Linked DNA regions of Sus scrofa. The protein of the gene in region 1 binds, or shares a complex with, the protein of each later gene. Links are inferred from orthologs where the notes say so. Each region holds a gene or a part of one and is shown in the gene's direction. Other genes may lie near its edges.

The links.
Region 2: the proteins of ITGB3 (region 1) and SHC1 are in contact, whole or in part, in an NMR structure (PDB 2L1C), measured with the Homo sapiens proteins. The link is inferred for Sus scrofa from reciprocal best matches to the Homo sapiens genes ITGB3 and SHC1. Residues at the interface, in NP_000203.2 of Homo sapiens: Trp765, Asp766, Thr767, Ala768, Pro771, Leu772, Tyr773, Lys774, Glu775, Ala776, Thr777, Ser778, Thr779, Phe780, Thr781, Asn782, Ile783, Thr784, Tyr785, Arg786, Gly787, Thr788; in NP_892113.4 of Homo sapiens: Ser175, Met176, Arg177, Asn182, Arg184, Thr185, Gln186, Thr188, Arg189, Glu190, Ser193, Leu194, Arg208, Arg209, Lys210, Arg214, Pro215, Leu216, Ser217, Ile219, Met257, Gln258, Ser259, Ile260, Ser261, Phe262, Ala263, Ser264, Gly265, Pro268.

Annotation. Positions count from the first base shown.
Region 1 is NC_010454.4:16,714,974-16,724,369, reverse strand, and holds part of ITGB3 (integrin beta-3 precursor), read left to right. Parts: coding exon 1-125; intron 126-1,703; coding exon 1,704-1,956; intron 1,957-3,448; coding exon 3,449-3,611; intron 3,612-4,647; coding exon 4,648-4,809; intron 4,810-8,008; coding exon 8,009-8,104; intron 8,105-8,527; coding exon 8,528-8,617; intron 8,618-9,279; coding exon 9,280-9,396. UniProt on the Homo sapiens protein: Integrin alpha-V/beta-3 (ITGAV:ITGB3) is a receptor for cytotactin, fibronectin, laminin, matrix metalloproteinase-2, osteopontin, osteomodulin, prothrombin, thrombospondin, vitronectin and von Willebrand factor.
Region 2 is NC_010446.5:94,819,400-94,829,497, forward strand, and holds the start of SHC1 (SHC-transforming protein 1), read left to right. Parts: upstream 1-3,434; 5' UTR 3,435-3,790; coding exon 3,791-4,285; intron 4,286-4,853; coding exon 4,854-4,924; intron 4,925-5,513; coding exon 5,514-5,577; intron 5,578-5,729; coding exon 5,730-5,849; intron 5,850-6,125; coding exon 6,126-6,179; intron 6,180-6,371; coding exon 6,372-6,423; intron 6,424-6,593; coding exon 6,594-6,720; intron 6,721-8,265; coding exon 8,266-8,464; intron 8,465-8,553; coding exon 8,554-8,623; intron 8,624-8,702; coding exon 8,703-8,837; intron 8,838-9,290; coding exon 9,291-9,529; intron 9,530-10,098. Other genes in the region: CKS1B (cyclin-dependent kinases regulatory subunit 1), read right to left, coding at 74-132. UniProt on the Homo sapiens protein: Signaling adapter that couples activated growth factor receptors to signaling pathways. Participates in a signaling cascade initiated by activated KIT and KITLG/SCF.

The DNA of each region.
Region 1 (9,396 bases):
CATTGAGTTCCCCATCAGTGAGGCCAGAATCCTGGAGGCCAGGCCCCTGAGTGACAAGGGCTCTGGAGACAGCTCCCAGATAACTCAAGTCAGCCCCCAGAGGATCTTGCTCCGGCTCCGGCCAGGTAGGGGTCTTGCAGGGTCTTGCATGGAAATGGAGTGGGAAGAGGAGGATGTGGGGAGAAGTGTGGGTGGGAGAATGGAAAAAAAAAAAAAAAGATTTGGGGACCTGAAGACAGAAGATCTGAGTCTGAATCTTGACTCTTCTGTATATTAGCTGTTTGATCTTTGAGCAAGTAACTACCCTTCTAGCTTAATAGCTACTCAGAAATGTTTGTTTCTTTGTCTCCCCAATGCCTGTTTTTTTTTTTTTTTTTTCCTTTTTTGGGCCACACCCAGGCTAGGGGTCAAATCGGAGTTATGGCTGCTTGCCTATACCATAGCCACAGCAACACCTGATCCTTAACCCACTGAGCAAGGCCAGAGATCCAACCAGCATCCTCATGGCTACTGGTCAGATTTCTTTCCACTGTGCCACAATGGGAACTCCCCTCCCCAATGCCTGTTTTACCCAGTGTATAACTTTATATTGGTGCTCAAATGAGGTGTAAGATGAGAGAAGTTTGGAATGAGCAGGGGCTTGCATAGGGGTAGAGAAAATAGGGACAGGAGACCCTCAGAGGAAGGGTTAGGCTAAGAAACAGGCTTTTTGCGGCATTGATTTTTTTTTTTGCCTTTTTTTTCTGGGGCGGGGGGTGCTGCCCCTGTGGCATATGGAGGTTCCCAGTCTAGGAGTCTAACCCGAGCTACAGCTGCTGGCCTACGCCACAGCCACAGCAATGCCAGATCTGAGCCGAGTCTTCGACCTATACCACAGCTCACGGCAATGTGGGATCCTTAACCCACTGAGCGAGGTCGGGGATCGAGCCCACAACCTCATGGTTCCTAGTCGGATTTGTTTCCGCTGTGCCACAACTGGAACTCCTTGAGGCATTTGATTTTGACTTCACAATTAAATCAAGAATTTAAGAATGTACCTTCTACATGCAAGACGTGTTGGGTACAGTGGGATTCAGAGAAGGGAGGGACATAGTTCCTGCTTTTAATAGAGTCTGAAGTGTAGTAGCTGCCGGCATTTCTGTGACTCAGGGTGGTGGACCCTTCAGACCCAGAGGATTAGACAGATGGGGATTTTGAGAGGGTGGCAACGTTTAGAATGGAAAAGGAAAGGTTCAAAATAGGAAGTCAAGGAGCTCCCGCTGTGGCGCAGTGGTTAACGAATCTGACTAGGAACCATGAGGTTGCAGGTTTGATCCCTGGCCTTGCTCAGTGGGTTAAGGATCCGGCGTTGCCGTGAGCTGTGGTGTAGGTCGCAGACAGGGCTCGGATCTGGTGTTGCTGTGGCTGTGGTGTAGGCTGGCAGCAACAGCTCCGATGAGAGAGACCCCCTAGCCTGGGAACCTCCATATGCCATGGGAGCGGCCCTAGAAAAGGCAAAAAGACAGGGAAAAAAAAAAAAAAAAAAAAAAAAAAAAGGAAGTCAAGAGATTGAAAGAGGAATAGAAGTGCAAGGGGAGAGGAGACGGGACCAGGGCTTTCAAGTTTAGTTTGATCAAGAAGTTACTTCATTCCGACTGTGTCCAACTTTACTTAAGTCTTAGAGGGAGAAGAGGAGAAAGAATTAACGTCTTTCTACCTTGCAGATGATTCGAAGAGTTTCTCCGTCCAAGTCCGGCAGGTGGAGGATTACCCTGTGGACATCTACTACTTGATGGACCTGTCTTTCTCTATGAAGGATGATCTGGAGAGCATCCAGAACCTGGGTACCAAGCTGGCTTCCCAGATGCGTAAGCTCACCAGTAACCTGCGGATTGGCTTCGGGGCCTTTGTGGACAAGCCTGTGTCACCTTACATGTACATCTCTCCACCACAGGCCCTCAAAAACCCCTGCTATGAGTAAGTCTCTCCTCTAGAAGCCAGCAAAACATCCTTCCCCTCTGCCCCAGGCAGGTCCAAGTCCTGCTCCCTATTTCTAGTTCTAGAGTGGCTTTGTTGCCTGCCTTCTGGACAAATGATATCTCCTCTCTACCTTGGTCTTCCTGCCTGGCAAGTGCCAACCCATTGATCTAAAATGTTATATTAATAGAGTCTAAGGCTGTTTGGAGACCTAGAAAGAAAAATTCATCAGCTTCTTGGTTTTGGTCATAAATAAAGAGTAGACAAGTGAGAATAGGAGGGAAATGAGATCAAAAGTAGAGAGAAATTTATGGAAAGGTAAATAGAGGAATTACGGTTTCAGAAGGATTGGTTCCACTGTTATTGTCATCACTGTCCTCATTATCAAGACTACGAGGTCTTCAGAGTTAAAATGCAAGGAATTAAGTCCTAGAGGAACATAAAAGGGTGGAAATGAGGGAGTTCCCATTGTGGCTCAACAGATTAAGAACTCAACTAGTATCCATGAAGATGCAGGTTCTATCCCTGGCTTCACTCAGTAGGTTAAAGGATATGGCATTGCCATGAGCTATGGTGTAGTCTGCAGACACGGCTTGGATCCGGTGCTGCTGTAGGCTGGCAGCTGCAGCTCTGATTTAATTCAGCCCCTAGCCTGGGAACTTCCATATGCCACAGCTGTGGCCCTAAAAAGAAAAAAAAGAGTGGAAATAATATTTATTGAATTCTCTAATAGCATAAATTGATGTGTCCCTCTGTTGAGACTTTGGCTTACAACTGAATGGCTTATTTATTTAATTGGCAGAGACTAAGAAAATTCATGGGTTATAATTTTGAATGAGCCTGACAAGGTATGAATTTACTTTGTAGAGTTGGAAGTTATATGGTACCTTCTGTCTGTGTTGTAAGTTTCCCCAGTAAAGATGTCAGCCATCAATTAAACGGATAAACCATTGAGCTGGGGACAGAAATGCTCCTGTTTGGCCCAGATCTATCAGTTTATTGATAGCTCAGGGCCAGTAAGTTATTGCCAAACTTTTACTTAATTGTTGTGTTAATGTTACTTTAAAGAAGTAAGTATGAGGTGATAGCAATATCAACTAGAGCCTCACTCTGATCTAAGATCTTTACATACATTAACCAGTTTAAGCCTCCCAACAACTCTTATGAGATATGTTCTGTCATGTCCTCAATTTTTTAGAGGTTAGGTATAGAGAAGCTTGCATAGGGTCCCATGACTAGTAAGTGAAGGAGCTGGGATTTGAACCCAGGCAATCTGATTCCACAGTTCACTCTCTTATCCTCTGAGCTAGCCAGAAGTAAAGTCAGTGTGATGCTTTAGGTAATTTGAAGGATTTGGAGTCTAAGCTGTCTGGGTAATTGTAGTTGTATAGAGCTGGCCTGGGCAAACCACTCTCCCAATCTGTCCCCCTCTTTTCCCCTCCTACTCCTTTTCCATCAGCTGTCTGCTTAAATGATCTCCTTTCCTCCCTAGTATGAAGACCACCTGTTTGCCCATGTTTGGCTACAAACATGTGCTCACACTAACTGACCAGGTGACCCGTTTCAACGAGGAAGTGAAGAAGCAGAATGTATCACGGAACCGAGATGCTCCAGAGGGTGGCTTTGATGCCATCATGCAGGCTACTGTCTGTGACGTGAGTTTAGAGGGCATGGAGTGCCCAGTGTGATTGGCCCAGATCAAAATGGGGCAGGAAGAGGCTCAACTGTGGGAATGTCTGTGTGAAATAAGAGATAGGAACCAAGCAGAACTTCGTACATTATGAACCAGAAGTTCTGATATGCAGTCTCTGCTTGTATCTGCTCCATGGTGAGAACTGTTATGTTTTGGAACCTTAGTGGTCTCCGATGTTTCCTGAAGAGAGCATCTCCCCACCTTCTCTGGAAGTGTCAAGGCTGGGTTAACTCATCTCAGCAAAGGGGCAGATGTTCAGATGGGATTTTTTTTTTTTTGTCTTTTTGCCATTTCTTGGGCCGCTCCCGCGGCATATGGAGGTTCCCAGGCTAGGGGTCTAATCAGAGCCGTAGCCACCAGCCTATGCCAGAGCCACAGCAACTCGGGATCCGAGCTGCGTCTGTGACCTACACCACAGCTCACAGCAACACCGGATCATTAACCCACTGAGCAAGGGCAGGGACTGAACCTGCAACCTCATGGTTCCTAGTTGGATTCATTAACCACTGCGCCACAATGGGAACTCCCAGATGGGATTTTTTTCCTAGCCTAGCCCTGCTCTGCAGATGCAGGTGGGTTTCTAGATGGGCCATGTAATTATCATTGAAAAAGTTATATTTGGGAATTCCCTGGTGGTGCAACCAGTTAAGGATATGGTGTTGTCACTGATGTGGCTCGGATTGCAGAGATCTCTGGCCCAGGAACTTCCATGTGCCACAGGCATGACCAAGGGAAAAAAAAAAAAAGAATAAAAAAAAGAAAAAGTTATTTTTGGAGTTGATGTATGTGTCTTTCAGCTGCTTAAACTATTTAGCTATGAGCCTATTTTCCCAAGAGAACAGAAACCCCTGAGTTGGAAAGCTTCAGCTTGTGTTCTAAGGAGTGGGACTGAGGCCCTTCTCCAAGACAATGCCTCAGGCAGGGAGCTCCTTAGGTCTTCGTTTTCTACCAGCGACATGGCTAAAGCTGCTCTCTCTCTTTTGCCATTTTTTGAACAGGAGAAGATTGGCTGGAGGAACGATGCATCCCACTTACTGGTGTTTACCACTGATGCCAAGACCCATATAGCGCTGGATGGAAGGCTGGCAGGCATTGTCCAACCCAATGATGGACAGTGTCATGTTGGCAGTGACAACCATTACTCTGCCTCCACTACCATGGTGAGATTCTTGGTACCATGTGTGCCCCCTCTTCACTCTGGCCAGGACTGCTCAAACCCAGGCAGGGTCTTTGTGTGACTATGAAAATGACAGCCCTTCCTGTGGGCCGGGTGCAGGGCTTTGTTCAGCCTGCCCTCAATTCTCCCACCTACTGGATACCCTCATCCAGGGTACAACCTGCACAACCATTAGAGATGGTCCTGGCTGTGATCAGTGTTTCCACTTCCTCCAGCCCCAGCAGCAGCATCGTGGCTTCCAGAATGGGCCCAGAGGACTTCTGCAGGTCCAGTGGAGAGCAGGCTGTCCTGTCTGGTGTGTGTGGATTAGCCCCTTCTTGGAATATCAGGCTCACTTGTGGTTACTGGAAGAAGACAGAGGAAAAAGAGACAGAGATCGTCAAAAGCATGAAGGGCCAGTCCTGCGAGGATGGGTTAAAGGGCTCAGAGTCATTCAACTGGAAGACTATACGATGGTTTAGCTGATACATGAGACGACTTTAAAAAAAAATTATTTATTTATTTAATGGTTTTTAGGAAAGCCTGCAGCATATAGACGTTCCCAGGCTAGGGGTCAAATCAGAGCTGTAGCTGCCAGCCTGCGTCACAGCCACAGCAACATGGGATCTGAGCTGCATCTGCGACCTACACCACAATTCACAGCAATGCCGGATCCTTTAACCTACTGAGTAAGGCCAGGGATCGAATCTGAGTGTCCTGGATACTAGTCACGTTCGTTACCACTGAGCCCACGATGGGAACTCCTAAAAATTTATTTTTTATTGAGGTAACATTTGTTTATAACACTATGTGAGTTTCATGTATATAACACTATTTTTCTACTTCTGTATACATTACAGCATGCTACCACCAAAAATCTAATTTCCATCTGGCACCACACAGTTGATTCCCTTTACCCATTTTGCCCTCCCCCTCAGCCCCTTCCCTTCTGATAACCACTAGTTTATTTGAGAGGACTTCTTATAAGTTGTTTTCCATGTCCATAGAAGGTTAAAAGAAAAGTTTACATTGAAACAAGAGGAACTGCAGTAAACCATGAAGAAAATGTATAGACCGGCAGAAGGCTGAGTATCTAGGAGCAAGTGTGAATGCTTTTGAAACTGACAGCACTAATGACCTGAACCTGGCCAGAACACAGATTGGGACTTGAACCCACTTGCCAGGACTTAAACCCAGCCAAAATCTAGGTCAGGACTTGAACACAAGTGCCAGGACTCAACCCAGCCTAAAGCCAGATTGGGACTTAAACCCATAGTTTTCTTTCTTTCTTTCTTTCTCTCTTTCTTTCTTTCTTTCTTTCTTTCACAATGATCATCACAATCCAATTTCACAGGATTTCCATCCCACATCCTAAGCACATCCCCCCACCCCCCAAACTGTCTCCTTTGGAGACCATAAGTTTTTCAAAGTCTGTGAATCAGCATCTGTTCTGCAAAGAGGTTCAGTCTGTCCTTTTTTCAGATTCCACATGTCAGTGAAAGCATTTGATGTTGGTGTCTCATTGTATGGCTGACTTCACGTAGCATGATAATTTCTAGGTCCATCTGTGTTGCTAAAAATGCTGGTATTTCATTCCTTTTAATGGCTGAGTAATATTCCATTGTGTATATGGACCACCTCTTCTTGATCCACTCCTCTGTCGATGGACATTTAGGTTGTTTCCATGTCTTGGCTATTAAACCCATAGTTTTAAATTTGAGTTACTTACACCGTGTCTGGACTCAATAAGGTTCAGGTTCTTTATGCCTCAGTGCAGAAGGAATTCAGCAAGAGACAAAGTGATAGGCAAGAAACAGATTTTTTAAGATAGGATACTTGTAAGAGATGCATGCAGGTAGGCAAGGAAGCTCTGCCCCCAGGATCTCATGGGTTGCAGTTTTATAATCCAAGGGGAGTGGGGTGTTGGAAAGGCCCACCTCTTCCTTGTTGGGAGTAGTAGCTCCTCCTTAGTATCCAGTAAGGTGTGTATTCAAATCAGCTGAAGGGCGGTCCTCAAACTCTTGCCCTTGGTTTGAATCAGAATGCAGGCCTCATCCCTCCCCCACCCAACGACCTGAGGCAATTCTTGCACCTCCACTAGTCAAGCAAGCCTGCCTTGTTCTGGTGGCTTTCTTGAACTTATAGTGGTCTCCCAGCATCCCCCAGGTTTCCCTCTTTATCTGCGATCCCCTATTGGGACTTCTACAACCACCTGTGCCTACTCCATCCCTATCACTTTGTCTTTTAAAGACAGTGTAGCAGCTACTTCATCTAGGTAGCTTAAAGGTACACCTGTGTAAAGGCAGGAGTCTGAGCTGGATGATCTCATGAGTCCCCTACAAGGTCCAGGATCTTAGGGACATGTTCACAGTTCACCAGCATTCCCACTGTGGCTTGAGTTCCTTGGTGTCAGCCATATCCAAGTTGAGTACAACTAGGCAATGGATGAGTCCATAATCATTGACACCTTGTCTATGCAGGGCCTTGCCAGGGGATGAGGCAGATAAAGACACTATATAAGGTTCCCAGCCTTAGAGAGTTTTTGGTTTAGTTGAGATGTGGTACCAGTAACACAAGATGTGGTACCAGTAACACAAGATGCATGGTTAATGCTAACTGGGTAGAGAAGTTAGTAAGGGCTTTAGGTATTTTAAGGAGGAAAGCTCATCATGAACTGGGATGGAACTGGGAAGGCCTCCTGGAGAAGGTGGGACCTGAGCTGGGTCCTAAGGAAGGAGGAAGATTAGCAAAAAGCCCACTCCAGGTGGGAGGATGAAAGTGGGCCAGCTGAGTGGTAAGTGGAAGGGGGAGAGAGGTGAATGATTGGAAAGGAAGGTTGAGATCGCATGACAGAGGATTGCGAGCACCAAGCCAGGGAATTTGTCAGTAGCTGCAAAACAGAAGGAAGCTTCAAAACAATGTGGCCTGGCAGCACCTGGCCCACAGAAGCTGCTCTTGGTGTGAATGCATCAAATTCAAGTAAGAAGAAGGTGCTTAGTTTTGGCACCACCAGCCTGTACCTCTTCATTTATCTCTGGAGTTCACAACTTACTTACTTTGTGTTTGCGTCACGCTGATTATGGGTGAACAAGTTTAAGCCTTACCATGGTCTGAGCCACAGCTCATATTAGCTAAGACCTAAGAATTCAGGGATGTATGTGAAGAGACGTCTTAACTAACCTCCACACCCTCCCTTTTTACAGGATTATCCCTCTCTGGGGCTGATAACTGAGAAGCTATCCCAGAAAAACATCAATTTGATCTTTGCAGTGACAGAAGGTGTAGTTAGTCTTTACCAGGTGACTTTGCCCTCCTGGAGCGGGAGTGGGGCCTGTGATGGGTGGACCTGTCTCAGGGAACCAGTTCACAGTAGCTTCGGCCATGGTACCCAACCAGAAAAGATCCAGGAGCTGATAATTCCTCCTGGTGGCCTCTCTTCTCGAACCTTGAACCTAGCAGGGTGGGGGTATTGCTGTTTGCAGTGGTGGAGGGAAGTAATTTGGTGGGTGGGTGAGAGTGTGTGTGTATGTGTGTGAGAGAGAGGTTCTCTGTAATTTTTCTCAGGGCTGAAAAACTGCTAGATTTATTCCTAGCAGTGACAAGTAAAACATCCTCCCTTTTCCTCAATTTTCATTTCAAGACCCTCAGTCTGATTTGGGGAGGGCTTTTGGAGACCACTACCTTCATCCGTCATCCCCGGACATCTTTGTCTTCCTTTCTAGAACTACAGTGAACTGATCCCAGGGACCACAGTGGGGGTGCTGTCCTCCAATTCCAGCAATGTCCTCCAGCTCATTGTGGATGCTTATGGCGTAAGTGTCTTATGCCAGGAATAGGCCTGCTAAGAGTCCTTTTTACTTGGTGTTACCCTGGAGGGCTCAGATTTGAGAGTCCACCACGCAGCCTTCCCTGCCTTCCTTTTGTTCTTCTAGAGGCCATGTGATAACCAGCACTGGGAGGAAGGCAGCCTTCTGAGACAGAAACGGCTCAGAAAGGAGTGCCAGGGAGCCTTCGGAACAAAGGAGGAAGGGCTTAGGGAAGGTGGAAGGGAAAGTGGATGGGGCAGGTGAGGTACAGAGTGAGGGAGAGCTGGGCTCCAGCAATAGAGAAAGAAGGCAGCTGAACCACGGGGAATGCGAGGTCGATTAAAAATTATGTAGAAAGTGCTACTTTCCAAGGTGACCAGTGTTAGCACTCCAGTCTTGCATGACCCTGAGGCCTGCAGGAGGGCATAGCTGCTTTAGATTTTACCCAGATTCATCTAGACACAAGTGGAGAAAGAGCAGGTCCTGGGCAGGAAATAGAGCAGGAAATAGGGTCCCAGGGAAGCTCTGGCAGCTTCTAGGTGAACCTCAGCACCGGGCGTGACAGGTGAGTCTAGGACCACCTGGCAGGTTTTGCTTGAGATGGAATTGGCTCCTACTCATTTCATCTCAGCCCATTTTCTTATCTTCTCTTGCCCTTTTCTGATCAGAAAATCCGCTCTAAAGTGGAGCTCGAAGTGCGTGACCTCCCTGAGGAGCTGTCGTTATCCTTCAATGCCACCTGTCTCAACAACGAGGTCATCCCAGGCCTTAAGTCTTGTGTTGGA
Region 2 (10,098 bases), on another chromosome or scaffold:
CCTGTTACTAATTCCTCGTGCCCACACTTGTCAAAGCTCACCACCTCGATACTGCCCCCGCGCCGGCACTAACCGGTACTCGAACTCCTCGTCGTCGTATTTGTCCGAATAGTAAATTTGTTTGTGCGACATGATCGCTCTGCCAGAGGACCGTCAACACCGCACCGCCAACCTCCAAACAACTCCCAGCAGCACGCGCTCCCACCCTCTTTGGCCTCGCTTTCAAACACGCCGCCCGCGCTTCCTATTGGTCCGCCTGGCGGAAGGCGGGACAACTCCACTTCCAAGCCTTCGATTGGCTTAGATTTGCTTCTCTTCAGGTCCTTATTGGAGTGCACTGCTTAAGTTTCTAAAGAAAAACGTAGGGCAAAAATAGGCCTCTTATAGGCTATCACTGCCCTGTGAGCGTTCTCGCGCATCATTGGCTGATTTGGGAAAGTGGGACGGGTGAAGGAGGGACGATGAGGTAGAGGGTCAGGGGTTAGTAAGGCCGGAAGTGAGTGCAATAAAGTTTCTCCAGGGAGGCCGGGCCCGGGGAGAAAGTTGGAGCGGCGACCTAAGGAGGCAGTGGCGTGATCCGGAACCAAATCGACCCGCGGTGCGGTGCGGAGACCCCATGAAGCCCTGGTGAGTTGGGACCTTTTTTTTTCTCCTTAGGCGAACCTCCCCTCCACCCCGGAACCCCTCTCCCGGGACCCTACTTCCGGTCTTCATTTATAAGTCCCGCCCCCTGCGACCCCCTCCCCGGAAGTCCCACCTCCCAACTTCAGGGGGCTCCCTGAACCCCGACTTATTTTCCGTTTATTGTCCCCGACCCCACCCCGTCGCCCAGCTTTCCTGGAAGTCCCACCCCTAGACATGCTTCCAAGCCTTACTCCTAGAAACCCAACGTTAAGTCTTTCCAATTACCCGAAACCCCGCCTCGCGACGATTCTCCGCTAACTCCTGTCTGTCAAAAAGCCTATCTCCCCAAAGGGCAAAGCCCTGCCCCTCAAAGATCTGCTTGAATTCGTGAAGCCACTCCTCTCTAGGGTTTCCGCCCCTCTAGAAGCTCCGCCCCTTCCCTAATCCACGTCTGATCGCCCAGAAGCCTGGCCTCCTGGAAATCTCTGATGCACGCGTCCTAAGGGACCACGCCCCCTCAAGATCTTTATCCCTGTAGGTCCCAGGTCATCGCCTGGGGAGCTTTGTCTTCAGCCCCTGGAACGTCACCTGCTTACATTTCCCTGTTCTTTTTCTCTTTGGGGCCTCTAGCTCAATTTTCCTGAGCTCTCATGCTCCACCGGGTAGGAAGGCAAAAGTTCACATCTCTGGTTCTGAGAAGTAAGAGATTAGAGGCAGCCCTTGTCCTTATCCCCTTACAAGGGTGGACCTACTTGTAGGGGGCTGGACTTGGGGTTTGGCACGAGAGCGGGAGGGAGACTTGCTCATAGACTCCCAACCCCACTCCCTGAGTTTCCCTTCCCAGGACCGACTCCACCCCAGAAACAGCTGTTTGTCTCATACCTGTCCATCGTCGTCGTCGTGGTCATCGTCGGGAGCTGGGTAGGGCCATGGATTTGTTGATGTGCGACATGTGGGTGTGACAGAAGCGCAAATTTTCTATCACCAGAAAGTGGCTTGCAGTGGGTTAGGGAACAGTGTCCTTTTTGCTCTTTGATTTTTTTTTTTTTTTTTTTTAAGGGCCTCCTCAGGCCGCAGCATTTCTCTGGCTCTTCCCTTCCCCCTAACCAGAGTTCTAGTCTGGGCATTCCTCTTTCCCGCTTGCCCAGCCTTCCCTTCTGGAAACATTCCTGAGGCTTTCGCCATTTCCTGCTACTTTCCGCCGCTCTTGCCTCCTCCTCCCTACTGGGCTGAGGCGCCACACGCAGCTTCTTCCCCACACCCAGAGGCCAGGACTCTCAGTAGCAATCTCTTTTCTTCCTACGTAAATTTAAAGAGCCCTGCTTCCTCTCTTTTGTCTGACGATGCCCACACCTGTTGGTCATCCACGACCTCTGGATCCTGCAGGCAGCCACCAAATGCCTGCCTCTGAAGATGAGCACATCCTGGTGTGTGTTTGTGTGTGTGGAAGGTGTGAGGCTCCGGCAGCATACTTTCTTCATTCTCTCTAGGCCTGGGAGCTGAGGCCTTAGGAAAGAGAGCCATAGAGTTTCTTCCCAGGAGTGGCAAATGGAGTGGCAAAGCTCTCCTCCGTTGTGGACCAAGAGGAGGTGATAAGCACAGTGTCTGACACGTTCGAAGTGCTGGTGCTGTTGATCACTATAATCCTATGATTATTTGCTGTCTTTTTATCCTGGGAGATAAATTTAAGGATAGATATTCCGAGGCCAGCCTGGGGGGCTATATATATCTTTCACTCTTTATTTCTTGGTCACTTTCCAGCTGCCTCCATGGCCCCCTCGAGCAGAGCTGGCGTGAAGCTGTGGGTGGAAGGAATGGGTTTGAGACTGTTTCCTGTGTCCAGCCTCAGTCCTCCTTTTCCTGGCACTCCTTTCCCCTTGGCACAGATTGGTCTTCTGCCTACCCTATCCCTTCGTGGCCTGTAGCCCCCGTCCCCCTCCTCTTGGAGAACTGTTTCACTCTCCCCTCCCCAGCCAGACGCTGCCCCTGGCGGGGTGGGGCCTCGGGCTCTGTGGTGGATACCTGTACTCTCTAGGGTCCCTACGGCCAGAGGAGGGGTAGGAGCTTACCTGCAGGTCCAGGGCACTGACGTTAGTGTCAGTGCCCTGGCAGCCCCCACCCCTCCTACCCTTGATAACTTGCTTGGCTGCGGAAAGTGGTGGGGGGCTGCAGAAGGGTGCCTGGCATGAGTTGCTGCTCCTTGGCATGGTAGACGCCATGCAGAGAACAAGCCTCCACCAGCCTGTCGTCTGCTCCGGCTCCTGCCTGGTGGCTCCCTGATGCAACACCCATCATGATGATGAAGTAAGGGACTTCATTCCCTTACTTCACCAGCTCTGCCCTTCCCCTTGGCCCCTCTCTGCATCCACCGGGACCATGTCCTTCCTTTTCCCATTTCTGTAGCTCCCTCCCCGGCTGTTGCAGCGGAGGATGCTAATGACCGAGACTAGGGGGTGCTGGGGGATGAGGGAATCTGAGTGTTCGACCAGGACAGGAAGGGAAATGCTGAGCTCAGGGATCCCCTCCCTTTCCCACCCCCAGCTGCCTCTGTTTCCTCCCTCATTCCCCACTCCCCCCACCAGCTTCCTGCTCCCTTTGACCTGCCCATGTCCGGTTTGGATTGATCCAGACCTCCTCTTATCGCCCTCCTTTCCTTCTCACCCCTCCATCCTTCCCTTCCAATCCCACTCTACTCCTCCCTAGATTACATGTTGTTTGTACGGGGTGGGCCGGGGTGGGGGCGGGGGGGGGGACGGGGGTGGGGCGGGCGGTGGGGGCACGGTGCACTCTGCCCCGAAAGAGTTCTAGGTTGGGGCGGTGTTGGGGGCTCAGCCCCTCAGAGCCTGTGAGTCAGCACTGTCCACGGGATTGGTCTCTCCCCTTTGCTCCCCGCCCCTGGGGAGGAGCCAGGCAGCTCTAGGTCCAGCCTGTTCTCCTCTCAGCCAGAGAAGAGGCTCCACGCTGGGCAGAGATGGGGCCTGGAACTGTCTGGGTCTGAGCCGCGGGAGCCAGAGCCACTTGTCCCTCTCCCTCCCCAGGACCCTTGAGACCCCTGGGCCACAGAGGTCCGATCAGGCTAAGGGCCTGGGGATGCCCCCTGCCTGGCCCCCTTGCCCTGACTGGCAGGGGGGCCAGGCTGGGCAGCAGCCTCCCTCTCACTCCAGCCATGGATCTCCTGCCCCCCAAGCCCAAGTACAACCCACTTCGGAATGAGTCTCTGTCATCGCTGGAGGAGGGGGCTTCAGGGTCCACTCCACCAGAGGAGCTGCCTTCCCCGTCAGCCTCGTCCCTGGGGCCCATGCTGCCACCTCTGCCAGGGGACGACAGCCCCACCACCCTGTGCTCCTTCTTCCCCCGGATGAGCAACCTGAAGCTGGCCAACCCAGCTGGGGGGCGCCCAGGGCCGAAGGGGGAGCCAGGAAGGGCAGCCGAGGATGGGGAGGGGACCGTCGGGGCAGCTGTACCCGACTCGGGCCCCCTACCCTTCCTCCAGGACATGAACAAGCTGAGTGGAGGCGGCGGGCGCAGGACTCGGGTGGAAGGGGGCCAGCTGGGGGGCGAGGAGTGGACCCGCCACGGGAGCTTCGTCAATAAGCCCACGCGGGGCTGGCTGCATCCCAACGACAAAGTCATGGGACCCGGGGTTTCCTACTTGGTTCGGGTGAGTGAGCGTCCTCCCTCCCTGACCCCTTCAGTTCCTCTGCTCATGAGTCTCTCTTTTTCGCCCCTTCTTTTCCCCAGCAACTCCCTTGGTTTCCGTGTCCTGTTTCTTAAGCCTTTTGTGCGCCTTCTCTGATTCTGTAGCCCCTTCTCTTCCAGCTCTGTCTGGGTCCCCTTGGGTCCTGCGACTCCCCCACCCCTACCCCCAGCCTGCCATGCTCAGCACAAAGCCCAGGACAGGCCCTTAGTAAGTGTTGGAATGAGTGGCTCTTGAGTGACTCCCCTCCAGTCTGCTCCCCCTTTCTGGAGTTGTCACTCCATCCCAGCCAGGGCCTGTCGCTCCCCTCCAAATTCCCTCCCCCCACCCCCCACTGTGCAGGAGGTCCTCCTAGCTCGCCCTTCTCTCCTCACCCCCTATTGTCCTGCACTCTGTGGGATGGAGCCACGGGCAGCGGGGCAGAACTTCATCTCTTCTTCCCTGAGGGACCACGTAGGGCAGAGTCCTACGGCCCTTTGTGAAGAGGCTGGAGGGGGGCGGCTGACTCTCCTCCTCGCATCCCTCCCCTCAGTACATGGGCTGTGTGGAGGTCCTGCAGTCGATGCGCGCCCTGGACTTCAACACCCGGACTCAGGTCACCAGGTTCGTGGGGAGGCGGGGCCGAGAGCGCAGGGCTCCTGGCATTCAGGCCGGGAGGGGGTCGCTTGGTGGTGGTGGCTAGTGCTGGCTTGTCTTTGGGTGGGGAAGGCGATTTAGAGACAGGTAGGAGAGTCAGTCTAAGTCTCAATGAAAAGAGACAACTCTGACCCGGCTCCTTCTACGTATCCAGCCTGGGGAGTTGTGGGGGAGGTGGCAGAGGCAGCTGGCAGCTGGAGCTTGAGTGGAAAATGGGGGTAGATGGAAGGTTGCTGCCCGCCGCTGCCGCCGCCACCACCGCCGCCACCACCACTGCCGCCACCACCACCACCACCACCACCACCGCCTTTGGGAAGGGGCTGGGACATTTGGTAGCTGGAAGGGGGTGGGGCCAGACCCACTGAGGCCCTAACCCAATCAGCCAGGAAGCGGCCTCTCAGTGTCATCAAATATTAAAGGCCCTTAATTCAATCCACCACGACAAAGAGCCTGGAGTGCCCCTGGAGTCTGGCCTGGCCTTCCCCTCCCCCAGCCCTGTGGCAGCCCCAGCCGAGTGGGAGGCAGGCTCTGGGTCTGAGTACCCCTCTTTCCCCAGGGAGGCCATCAGTCTGGTGTGTGAGGCTGTGCCGGGTGCGAAGGGGGCGACAAGGAGGAGAAAGGTACCTGGGGTCCACGGCACGGGGGATGCTGCCGGGAGATGCGGAGGAGCAGGGGCAAGGCTAGTGTGGCGCGTGTGGGGAGAAGGGCAGGAGTGCGGGCGGTTTCCTGGTGTGGGATCTCCCAGCTTCTGAGACCTGGGGCCCTTCCCCAGCCCTGTGGCCGCCCACTCAGCTCCATCCTGGGGAGGAGTAACCTGAAATTTGCTGGAATGCCAATCACTCTCACCGTCTCCACCAGCAGCCTCAACCTCATGGCCGCAGACTGCAAACAGGTTGGTGGGGTGGAGTCAGGGTCAGGGCGGGGGGTGAGGGCGTGCAGAAACACCGATGGGAAGGCTCAGTGGGAACCTGGCCACGAGGGCAAGAACTTAGCAGAGAAGCCTTGGGCGCAGCAGAGCTGTAGGGAAGGTGTAGATTAGGAGGACATGGGTTGAGAAGCCAAAGGGACGCTGGGGTCCCGGGCCAGTGGTGGGGGGTGCCCAGTGGACCCTCAGGCTGCCTGACACCCGTCCTTCCCTTCCTTCTCCATCCTCTGCCCTAACCCTCAGATCATCGCCAACCACCATATGCAATCCATCTCGTTTGCGTCCGGCGGGGACCCGGTGAGTCGGGGAGTGCACCAAGGTGGTGGGAGAGGAGAGAGGGGCTTGGGATGGGGGGGGGGAAAACTGGCTAGAGAGGTGAGTGTGCTAGGACCGAGGCAATAGCTGCTTAGGGCCGGGTTTGAGGGGTCAGGACTGAGGTGGGGCTCTACCGTTGAGCTAACTGGCCTCTTCTGATTCTGTCTACCCCAGGACACAGCCGAATATGTCGCCTATGTTGCCAAAGACCCGGTGAATCAGAGAGGTGAGGCGTGGTGGGGAGCGCTGGGTGGGGCCGGCTGTCAGAGAGACAGGTGAGCAGGACCCGGGAGCTCAGCAGGGGCTCCTGCTGCGGAGAATGAGGGCGAGGGCCCCGTCTGTGCGTGCCCCCCGCCTTCCCCCCGAGTTCCCTGACAGCCTCTGCTGTGCCCCCAGCCTGCCACATCCTGGAGTGTCCCGAAGGGCTTGCTCAGGACGTCATCAGCACCATTGGCCAGGCCTTTGAGTTGCGCTTCAAACAATACCTCAGGAACCCGCCCAAGCTGGTCACCCCTCATGACAGGTGAGCAGGCGAGCGGTGGGGGGGGGCAGCTCTCGGGCTGGGACCGGAATTGGAAAAGTAGGTCTGCTCTTCCCACGCTTGAGCTCAGAGAGGAGCAGGGAAGGAAATAACCTGTGAGCCCCTGCTTCCCACTTCCTGCTATTCTTACGTTTCCTGAGGCCATGGGGAAGGCCTTTCGAGGCCCTGCCTGCTGCCAGGCCAGCTCTTCCTCTCGGGTGCCCGTGCTGGAGCTGTAGTCCAGGGCCGCCCGCTCCAGCTCTTCCTGGCTGGATGGGCTTTCCTAGTCCCAGCCATCTCTTTCTGGCCTGTCCCTCTCTCTTGCCCATTTCTCCATATTTAGTGCCTTCTTGCCCCTAGAAGCCATCAAGAATTTGGGCGAGGGAGCATGGCTCTTTCCTGAGATCCTTACCTCTCCCACTTCAGACCAGCAGTGTTGAGAATTTAGGGGAGGTTAAAATATTCCAGAGGGAGATTCTGTTGTGGCTCAGCGGTAACAAACCCGACTAGTATCCATGAGGATTCAGGTTCAGTCCCTGGCCTCTGTCTCTGGGTTAAGGATCCGGCGTTGCCGTGAGCTGCGGGGTAGGTCATGGCTTGGATCTGGCATTGCTATGGCTGTGGTGTAGACCGGCAGCTCCAGGTGCAATTTGACCCCTAGCTTGGGAACCTCCATATGCTGTAGGTGGAGCACCCCAAATAGTGGTGCTGCTTCCCCTCCCTCTTGGGAGACAGCATAACGATCGAGGGCATGCCTCTAAAGTCAAATTTGAACTTATGTCTCTCAGATTCACCACTTTTTATTTTATTTTTTAATTTTTTAAATTATTTATTTATTTAGTCTTTTGAGGGCCACACCTGTGGCATATGGAGGTTCCCAGGCTAGGGGTAGCATCAGAGCTGTAGCTGCCGGCCTGCGCCACAACCACAGCAACACTGGATCCTTAGCCCGCTGATCGAGGGCAGGGATCAAACCTGCATCCTCATGGATACTAGTCGGGTTCGTTCCCACTGAGCCACGACAGGAACTCCTTCACCACTTTTTTTTTGTTTGTTTGTTTGTTTTAGGGCCACACCCATGGCAGATGGAGGTTCCCAGGCTAGGGGTCTCATTGGAGCTGTTGCTGCCAGCCTACGGCCACAGCCACAGCATCGCAGGATCCGAGCCTCGTCTGTGACCTATACCACAGCTCACGGCAACACCGGATCCTTAACCGACTAAGCGAGGCCAGGGGTCGAACCGGCAACCTCATGGTTCCTAGTCGGGTTCGTTTCCACTGCACCACGACAGGAACTCCCTTCACCAATTTTTAGTTGGGAGACCAGGGTAAATCTTTTCACCCCCGACCCTCCCTCATTTTCCTCATCTACAAAATCGGAGAAGGAAATGAAACCTACCTTCTAGGGTTGCCAGGAGGAGGACATGATTCCATATATAAAACACCCCACGTCAAGCCTGCCCCTCAGGGATTGCGCAGTCCATGGCCGCTGTTCTCTTCTCCCTCCGTCCTCCCTCCCACGTGCCTCTCTCCTTCCTGTCCCTCCCAGGATGGCTGGCTTCGATGGCTCAGCTTGGGATGAGGAGGAGGAAGAGCCGCCTGACCATCAGTACTATAATGACTTTCCGGGGAAGGAGCCCCCTCTTGGGGGGGTAGTGGACATGAGGCTTCGGGAAGGAGTGCCCCCAGGGGCTGCTCGACCCACTCCCCCCAGCGCCCAGACCCCCAGCCACCTGGGAGCCACACTGGTGAGTTGCTTGGGGGGGAAGTGGGCTGGGCCCAGGACGGGAGTGGCTGGTTAGGGCCTCTGGCCTCACCTGATTTTTTGTCCCTTCAGCCTGTGGGGCAGCCTCCTGGGGGCGACCCAGAAGCCCGCAAACAGATGCTGCCGCCTCCACCCTGCCCAGGTAGGAAGGGGGCTGAGAGGGGCAGAGCCGGGGTGTGCGAAGCAGGGCGGGGGTCGCTGTAAAGCCTCCCTTTCTTCAGCAGGCAGAGAGCTCTTTGATGATCCCTCTTATGTCAACGTCCAGAACCTAGACAAGGCCCGGCAAGCAGGGGCCGGGGCCGGGCCCCCCAATCCTACTATCAATGGCAGTGCACCCCGAGACCTCTTTGACATGAGTAAGTGCGCCTCTGTCTTTCCTGCACCTGCCTCTTCCCGCTGGGTTCCTCTTCTTCTTTTTTTTTTTTTTTTTTTTTTTTTTTTTGTCTTTTTGCCATTTCTTGGGCCACTCCTATGGCATATGGAGGTTCCCAGGCTAGGGGTGGAATCGGAGCTGTAGCTGCCAGCCTACGCCAGAGCTACAACACCAGATCCAAGCCGCGTCTGTAACGTATACCACAGCTGACGGCAATGCCAGATCCTTAACCCACTGAGCAAGGCCAGGGATCGAACCCGCAACCTCATGGTTCCTAGTCGGATTCGTTAACCACTGAGCCATGACGGGAATTCCTGGGTTCCTCTTCTTTTCCTGCTTATCTGCTCTTTCCTTCCTGGCTTCCCCTCCCTGAAGGTCTGGGCCCTGGGCATGTGTCGTGCCAGCCCCCCTCCTAGCCCTCTCTCTGCACCCCCAGAGCCCTTCGAAGATGCCCTTCGGGTGCCTCCACCTCCCCAGTCGGTGGCCATGGCCGAGCAGCTCCGAGGGGAGCCCTGGTTCCACGGGAAGCTGAGCCGGCGCGAGGCCGAGGCACTGCTGCAGCTCAACGGGGACTTCCTGGTGCGGGAAAGCACGACCACACCTGGCCAGTACGTGCTGACCGGCTTGCAGAGTGGGCAGCCCAAGCACCTGCTCCTGGTGGACCCTGAGGGTGTGGTGAGTGTGGCAGAGGCATGGGTGGCGTGGCAGGAAGGACGGTGCAGCACCCTCCCGGGCAGCCCTGTTCTTGCCCTCACTGCTTCCTAGACTTGGCCCGACGGGCACCTCTGTCTGGGCCTCTCAGGTGCCTGGCCTCCCCTCTGTGGTGGCTCGGGGTTCTTTCCCTTCTCACATCCCTGAACCTAAGCTGCGTTCCCTTTAATCCTGGCCAGTCCCCAGCCCTTATGCCCATGAGAGCTAGAAGGTGCTCATTTCACCTGAGCCTCTCTTTTAAAAACATTTTTTAAATTGAAGTATAGTTGTTAGTTTCAGGTGTATAGCAAAGGGCTTTGGTTTTATACATATGTATATATATATATTTTTTTCAGATTCTTTTCCCTTATAGGTTATTACAAATTACTGAGTATAGTTCCCTGTGCTACACAGTAGGTCCTTGTTGGTTATCTATTATATATATTGCAGTGTATATTTATGAATCCCAAACTCCTAATTTATCCCTCCCCCTTTGCCCTTTGGTAACCTTGAATTTGTTTTCTATGTCGGTGGGTCTATTTCTGTTTTGTACA